Macaca mulatta: one gene and its partner. The protein of the gene in region 2 binds, or shares a complex with, the protein of the main gene of each other region. Links are inferred from orthologs where the notes say so. Each region holds a gene or a part of one and is shown on either strand. Other genes may lie near its edges. The genes, in order: XRCC4 and IFFO1.

What was found.
Region 1: the proteins of IFFO1 (region 2) and XRCC4 are in contact, whole or in part, in a crystal structure (PDB 6ABO), measured with the Homo sapiens proteins. The link is inferred for Macaca mulatta from reciprocal best matches to the Homo sapiens genes IFFO1 and XRCC4. Residues at the interface, in NP_001317253.1 of Homo sapiens: Arg469, Glu470, Tyr473, Ile477, Gln479, Ile480, Glu481, Glu483, Leu484, Ala487, Lys488, Asp490, Met491, Arg493, His494, Leu495, Tyr498, Met501, Lys505, Leu508, Asp509, Met512, Cys515, Arg516, Leu518, Ile519, Thr520, Gln521; in NP_001304941.1 of Homo sapiens: Trp155, Val158, Gln159, Phe162, Glu163, Cys165, Val166, Lys169, Glu170, Glu173, Leu176, Tyr177, Phe180, Val183, Leu184, Lys187, Lys188, Lys190, Ile191, Leu194, His195, Lys197, Leu198, Ala201, Ala202, Arg205, Glu212.

The regions. Positions count from the first base shown.
Region 1 is NC_133411.1:89,411,268-89,415,080, reverse strand, and holds part of XRCC4 (DNA repair protein XRCC4), read right to left. Parts: intron 2,707-3,813; coding exon 2,531-2,706; intron 1-2,530.
Region 2 is NC_133416.1:7,504,185-7,508,469, reverse strand, and holds the start of IFFO1 (non-homologous end joining factor IFFO1), read left to right. Parts: upstream 1-1,301; 5' UTR 1,302-1,336; coding exon 1,337-2,109; intron 2,110-4,285. Other genes in the region: NOP2 (28S rRNA (cytosine(4447)-C(5))-methyltransferase), read left to right, coding at 1-376. UniProt on the Homo sapiens protein: Nuclear matrix protein involved in the immobilization of broken DNA ends and the suppression of chromosome translocation during DNA double-strand breaks (DSBs).

The DNA of each region.
Region 1 (3,813 bases), on a different chromosome or scaffold from region 2:
CTCTCAGCTGCATCCATCCATAAGGCTGACAACAGCACTGGAAGTTTTACCTCATTTAAATATCCAAAATACCTCTCAAGTAAGTCAAGCCATGAACAAACTCCTCCTTATCAAACTGTTCTGAGAATAGCCTTTTCTTTCTCATAAACAAATAAATAAATGAATAAATACGGAGACAGCTATTTAGACTGCAATGTAGTGGTTTAAGACATTCTGTAGGGAACCAGCACACTTTTTGCATTGCTGGTAATCTTTTAGGCTGTTTCCATTTCTTGTGAACACTTCTTGAAAAGGTAGTACCTGTAGTTCAAGATGCTGGCTCTGATAAAGTTGTTTACTTTCAGGGTGGCAAGCAAAAATCTTTCAGGATTATTATGAGTCTTTGATGCTGATAGATGCCAAACCAACTGTAGAAGACATGAATCAAGAGGACTTAAAGCTCTTTCTTCATAGAAGGAGTAAAACCTGATGTATTGCCAGCCATGGCAAGTACTCCATCTAGGCTGATATGGTTTGTCTGTGTCCCCACCCAAATCTCATCTTGTTTTTTTTGGTTTTCTTATTTGTTTGTTTGTTTTGAGACAGTTTCGCACTTGTCGCCCAGGCTGGAGTGCAATGGCGTGATCTCAGCTCACTGTAACCTCCACCTTCTGGGTTCAAGCCATTTTCCTGCCTCAGCCTCCCAAGTAGCTGGAATTACAGGCATGTGCCACCATGCCCGGCTAATTTTGTATTTTTAGTAGAGACATGGTTTCTGCATGTTGGTCAGGCTGGTCTGGAACTCCCAACCTCAGGTCACCCACCCACCTTGGCCACCCAAAGAGCTGGGATTACAGGCATGAGCCACCACGCCCGGCCTAAATCTCATCTTGAATTGTAGCTCCCATAATTCCCACATGTTGTAAGAGAAACATGGTGGGAGGTAATCAAATCATGGGGGTGGGTTTTTCCCATGCTGTTCTCATGAAAGTGAGTAAGTCTCATGAGATCTAAAGGTTTTATAAAGGGGAGTTCACCTGTACATGCTCTCTTGCCTGCCACCATATAAGACATAACTTTGTTCCTCCTTCTCTTTCTGCCATGATTGTGAGGCCTCTCCAGCCACGTGGAACTGTGAATCATTTAAACTTCTTTCCTTTATAAATTGCCCAGCCTCGGTTATGTCTTTATTAGCAGTGTGAGAACAGATTAATATAAATGCCAACTGTACCAAGCCCCATCTTTTACCATGTCAAAAATATCAAAAGCCTTTCAGCCTTCCAAAATGTACCTCACTAATTTGGAATTATGTATCAATATGTATGAAACAGATAAAAACTAGAAAATGGCTGCACAAAATAATGCTAGTTGTTACATGCAAATGTTTAGTGAATGGGAAATGGCATTGATCCCAATTTGGCAATGATCTGCTTCAAAATATTCGAAGAGTCTGCACTTCTGTAATATATAATATCATCTGATTGAGCTTGGGCCATAGGAAAGAACACTTACGATAAATAACAAAATTGTAGTAGCTAGTTCCAACCTTCTTACTGTACCTATTTTAAATTACCATTTTAAGAAACACAGCATATTGAAACTTACATAATTTGACAGCTAATTAGAAAATGTTTATTTTAAATATAAATTACTAAGGCTAGTTTCTCTGTATTATTCCCTACATGATAATATATATTTATAATGATTCCATTTGTTTCTTCAAATGTTTCTCTAATGAAAGAAATCTCTTTAATTATTCTGAATTTAAAAGGTTGTTTTAAAATAATTTTCTAAACTAAGTTGAGCTCTAAAACAAATTCTCAATAGCTATTTGTTAACTTAACGTAGCAAACATTTCCTTCCCTCTCCTTTAGAAATGATAGCTCTCACATATGACTAAAAACCACCAGCTAAAAAAACAAATTCAATATCTATTCAACTTAGGTAAAATATACAAATAATTAGTGCAAGACTTTAATAAATAAACCACCTGCCTTGATCTGAATTGGTGCAGGAACTGAGCAGAATAAGTAGCAGATACTCTTGTCTGCAAAGCTTAGGCTGCAAATTATTTCTATTTTAATATTTTTAAATCTGACAATATAAATAAAGTATCCTTAATCCTGACTATGTATTTTTAAATTTCAAATACACTCTAATAAAGTAGAAAATAAGTCATAATTATTTGATATTCAAAGATATATTATTTCTTAAAATCAATATTTCACAAAACTTATTTCAATAAGACCTGTCACAATGGCTAAAACTTCTGATCCCACCTTTTTCAAGATTATAATTAACTCTGTAATACTTTAAAATTTTTCAAGCATTAAAAACTAAATATATTTTCCAATAATTATTTTTCGTGATTCATTAATATATTTAATGACTTTAGCTTTGAAGTCTCTTCCAATTCGGAAACTAAGTACTTTTCAAGCTTTTGCTTCTGAGGTGTTCTGGGAATAATATAGTAGTTACTTAAATTTAAATATAATCCCTCAATAAGTGCTCTGACATTTTACTATGTAACATTTTGGAAAGTTTTACTTACTGAAACATCTTTCAGGTTTTTCTCAAAGAAGAAATAACAAGACTCTTTAGAAAAATTAAATGTGTATACATCAGCTGGTCCTGCTCCTGACACCAATGCTTTTCTCAGTTCATCAACATATTTCCCTTTTTCCATTGCCATGTCATCAGCTTCTTGGGAAATCTCTGATTCAGAAACTATGGGAAATATTAACAAAAGTTTTAAAATGAAAAGTAAACGACTACACATGAGAAAATATTAGTTTATCTGTTAGTACTAATTTATCACGTGTAACAGAAATTTAAACAAGTAAAATCAATCCCTATACTACACATTTTTAAATCAAGTTATTCCTATTTATTGAACTAGCAATTTTTAAGAAATGCATTAATTTAGACTCACAACTCATGTGAAATACATTAAACCCTTGACATTCTTTCTCTGTCCTCAGATGAAACACATTGTAAGTTATTACAGAAAATTCCACTTTGTGTACCTGCTCTTAGGTCAAAGCCAGATAATTTCCTATAATGAATAATAAGCTCAATATTTTATAACATCTTCCTTCCTTGCATCAAAGATTCAATAGTCTACAGTGTATTTCTCACTCATATGAGCAGGGTAAAACAAAAGCAAAAGTGGAGCTCATTATTCTCATATCATGTGCCAACAACAGAAAATATGGATGAAAGGAAAATAAGGAAAGAATGGGAAGGAAACTAAAATGTACTGAGCATCTCCTCTGCAACACATACTATACTAGAGATCTGGCTTCCAATTCTCTTATCTAGGTATTTTTAAAGCTGATGTTTTATCTATCATTGAGATTTTTGTTTCAGTAATCATATTTTCAGTTCTAGGTATTATCTTTGTTCCTTTGCCATTATATCCTGTTCTACCCTACCCTTCTTTTAAATATTTAAATAAACGTATTTTAAGATATCTTTCATTTCTGTATTTATGTGTGGCTCCTGGAGTATAAATTATGTTTCTTCTATCTGTGGAAAAATTCTTGTTTTACTTGTTTTCCTTTCATGCTTTGTAACGTTTGAGTACGGCTTGCCTCTAGCCAAAGTGGCAAGTGTTCTGGGAAGAAGTGTTCTTAAATGAAGGTTGCTGGTTTGCCTTTCTGGGGGTCATTACAAGTTTCATCAGTTCGAGACTAGTTTTGAAAGTTAATTTCTCACCTTGATTTTTACACTTGAGGCAAAGTGTTCCATTTTAAACCTTGCATACACACATAACACAGGTTTAGGGTTCTGATTTTTCTTGAGACTTTTATTCACTCATAGTCCTTAGGGATT
Region 2 (4,285 bases):
GATCAGGGAGTCCAAGGTGACTGGGAAGCTAAAGCAACGATCGCCTAAATTACAGTCCTCCAAGAAAGTTGCCTTCCTCAAGCAGAATGCCTCTCCCAAGGGCACAGACACAGAAACACCGGCTGTGTTATCCCCATCCAAGACTCAGGCCACCCTGAAACCTAAGGACCATCATCACCCCCTTGGAAGGGCCAAGGGGGTTGAGAAGCAGCAGTTGCCAGAGCAGCCTTTCAAGAAAGCTGCCTTCCAGAAACAGAATGACACCCCCAAGGGGCCTCAGTCTCCGACTGTGTCTCCCATCAGTTCCAGCCGCCCCCCACCAGCAAAGAGGAAGAAATCTCAGTCCCGGGGGAATGGCCAGCTGCTCCTGTCTTAGATGGTTGAAAACTAGACTGGGGTGGCTCACTGCCATTGTCACCGGGTTGGAACTCTTGCCTCTATGAGGATGCCTTCTCCACTGTGCATACCCATGAAATTTAATACACATTTTACAACCTCTGGCCGCTGAGTATTTTTGAGGGAACTGGGTACTGCCTTTGCTGCTTTAAGGGTAGAGGTGGGAAGGTGGGACTGGGATCTTCTGAGGAGAGGGAATGGTTGGGTGCTACTGAGAAATCAGGTCAGTTTTAGGCTCCTGCAGCCTTGAGTCTTCCCAGGAAGGGAGAGCCCTGGAGTCAGAGCTAGGGGTGATTGAACTCTGGGGAGAGGAGGGCAATAGAAGTGTAGGGGAAGGCCGGACATGCTGGCTCACGCCTGTAATCCCAGCACTTTGGGAGGCCAAGGTGGGTGGATCACCTGCGGTCAGGAGTTCGAGACCAGCCTGGCTAACATGGTGAAACCTCGTCTCCACTAAAAATACAAAAAATTAGCCGGGCATGGTGGCGGGCACCTGTAATCCTAACTACTCGGGAGACTGCGGCAGGAGAATCGCTTGAACCTGGGAGGCTGAGGTTGCAGTGAGCCGAAATCACGCTACTGCACTCCAGTTTGAGCGACAGTGAGACTCGGTCTCAGAAAAAAAGTAGCGTAGGGGAGATGGGCTTGCCACCAGAACCCATGGGGTACTGGAGGGCCTGGGCTTTACGCCACCCCAGCTGAATTCCAGGCGGTGGGCCCCTCATCCCTGGGCTCGGCTTCAGATCCGGAAAGGTCCAGGGTCCGGCCTCCAATTGGAGCCTGTCATTGGCTTCCCCCTCGGCCCGCCCCCTGACCTCTGCCCTGCCGCCGAGCCTCCTGATTGGTCGACCCTGTCCCGCCGGCGCCGCATTGGCTCTTCTCGCTCGCCCTCCATCCCTGCTCTTGCACTGGTTTGCATCTCCCAGCAGAAGGCGCAGCCATGAATCCGTTATTCGGCCCCAACCTCTTCCTCCTACAGCAGGAGCAGCAGGGCCTGGCCGGGCCGCTGGGGGACTCACTGGGAGGCGACCACTTCGCCGGGGGAGGAGACTTACCCCCGGCGCCTCTCTCGCCGGCCGGCCCTGCTGCCTACTCGCCCCCCGGGCCGGGCCCGGCCCCGCCTGCCGCCATGGCCCTCCGCAATGACCTGGGCTCCAACATCAACGTGCTCAAGACCCTGAACCTCCGGTTCCGCTGCTTCCTGGCCAAGGTGCATGAGCTGGAGCGCCGGAACCGGCTGTTGGAGAAGCAGCTGCAGCAAGCGCTGGAGGAGGGTAAGCAGGGCCGGCGGGGCCTGGGTCGTCGCGACCAGGCCGTGCAGACCGGCTTCGTCAGCCCCATCCGGCCCCTGGGGCTGCCGCTGGGCGCCCGGCCGGCCGCTGTCTGCAGCCCGTCGGCGCGGGTGCTGGGCTCGCCCGCGCGCTCTCCGGCCGGCCCCCTCGCGCCCTCCGCGGCCAGCCTCTCGTCGTCTTCCACCTCCACCTCCACCGCCTACTCCTCGTCTGCCCGCTTCATGCCCGGCACCATCTGGTCGTTCTCGCACGCCCGCCGGCTCGGGCCGGGACTGGAGCCCACTCTGGTGCAAGGGCCTGGCTTGTCGTGGGTGCACCCGGATGGGGTGGGCGTCCAAATCGACACCATCACGCCCGAGATCCGCGCGCTCTACAACGTGCTGGCCAAAGTGAAGCGGGAGCGGGACGAGTACAAGCGGAGGTAGGGATTGGGAAGAGGGGACAGGGCTCTCTGTGTCATGCCCCTCACAACGGGCCGGGAGTCGGTGTGGGTTCCGAAGAATCAGGGGTGAAAAGAATGAGAGGAAAGTTTGTGCTGTATAATGAGGAGCTTGGAAGGAATTGGACGCAGGGAGACTAGAATCTGCAGAGAATGCAGAAGCCCCACTCGTGACAGGAAGAAGGACGCTGGGAGCGGAACACTGGGGAATTCCTACTTTTCCGGCTTGTCTCTGCATCCAGGCTTAACTGCGGGCTTTGTGGGTGTGAAAGGGACTGGGTCTGAGCCCTACCGGTCTCAGCCCTGGGGCAGTTTAGGGATATAAACTTGAAAAGTAGGAGGCAAGGATATAGCGTCAATTTGGGAGAGTAAATTGAGTGAAATTGGAAGGGGGTGGTAAGGAAGGGGCTGTACCTTGCAACGGGTGATTCTTTCACAGCCCAAGGTTTCTCAAAGAATACTGATGGAAACCAGGTACCTGCTGTGGTTTCATAGGAAAAGCTCCGGGACCTCATTGCTTGAGTAGGTCAACAAAGTGGGAAAAGAAAGAGTGAAGGGAATTCCCTAGGGTGAGGGTGGAGAGCAGGGCTGATGGGGGAATCTCTTGGCAGTATAAAACGCCAGCGGTGGAGGGAGAGTGGAGAGCCAGCAGGGGACTGAGCGGGGAGAAGCTGGGATATGGACACTCCCTAGGACTGCGAGACCGCGGGGCGGGCCCAGTGCATTCTGTGGATGAAGATTTGGCTGTCTGAGAGGAGCCCGGTCCCAAGGGGCAAGGGGAAGGGATGTGATGCCAGGAGTGCTGGCTGTATACCAAGTGGATTCCTTAGATGGCTGATAACCAAGTCGATAGGACAGGAGAACAGAGGTAGCGTCTTGCAGACTCCAACCCATGCCTTGAGGAGGAAGGCGGTGACAGTCAGAGAAGACTTTGGTTTGGCGGTCTCCCCTCTCATCTCAGCTATTATGACCCCTTGTGGGCGGGCCTGGGAACTACCTATGCAGCCCAGTGTAGCCGAGATTCAGCGCTGGGTGAGGATTGGCCGAATGTTCTAGGAAATGACCACTGGGTGTGGGGGCGACCTTCAGGGATCTCCACCCTGCTGGAGTTTACCAGATCAGAGATCAGCAGGCTTTCTGAGCTTGAGTCCTGTCCTTGTGCTGGCTTCCTTAGTTGTGGTCCATGTTACATGTCCTTGGGAGTTTCAGTTGTCCTGAAGTCATTCTGGCACCCGAACCAGCCTGCTCTGCCCGTGCAGGAGCGAGCTAACACACTCAGCAGTGGAACAGGCACAGTTCTGGAATACATCCATAACCACAGGAACAATTGCTGTTCTCAGGAGCTTTTTCTTTTCTTTTTTTTTTTTTTTAAACTGAAGGAGCGTTTGTCCTTGGTCCAGCTGTCCAGGGCAGGAAAGAGTTATTCCTTGGGGACTGATTAGCTCATAGCTCTGCAGCACACTGCTGTGTAGAAGGCCGTAGCTAGACTTGGATGGTACGTGATACTGGCAGTGACTCTTCTTCCACCCCAGATCCCTTGCCCTCATTCTGGTCTCTTTATAGCAACACTGTAACTCCTGTTTTCTGCCTGGAAGGCCTGGGATGGCTTGAGCACTAAACTGGGAGGTAGCTGAAGGCCTCCTGGGTTCTATTTTCAGCTCCCCTGCCTTGCGTGTGACCTTTTTTTGAGCCCCCATTTTTCCAACCTAGGATTGGTCCCTGCTTTCTCTCTTCAACCCAGGGATAGAGTTTTTTCTAAGAGTGGTGTTTGGTTCATGCAGAATGCATGGAAATCGCTCTCAGATTCTGCCCATGTTAAGGGAACCTTGTAAGTGAGACCAGATGGAAATGGAGGTGAAAATGAACCTGTTTGTGTGAAATCTGGCTAAAGAACAATAGAATTGTAGTGGACTTCCAGGTGATTCATTTTTAGATTTTTTACCCTGTAAGATTTCCTTAAGCTTAACCTTTAGCTAACCGCCTTCCTTAAGTTTCTTCCAGGTTTTGTTGAGCTCACTGTCAGATAGCCCCTCCTGCCCTCCCTCACACATCTTGTCCAGAGTTAGCATGCCCTTGACAGGTTTACTGTCTTCCTCGAGGGACTCATGGGCTCCAGGGGCATGAGGGCACCACAGTTCATGCCTTCACATCGTAGATG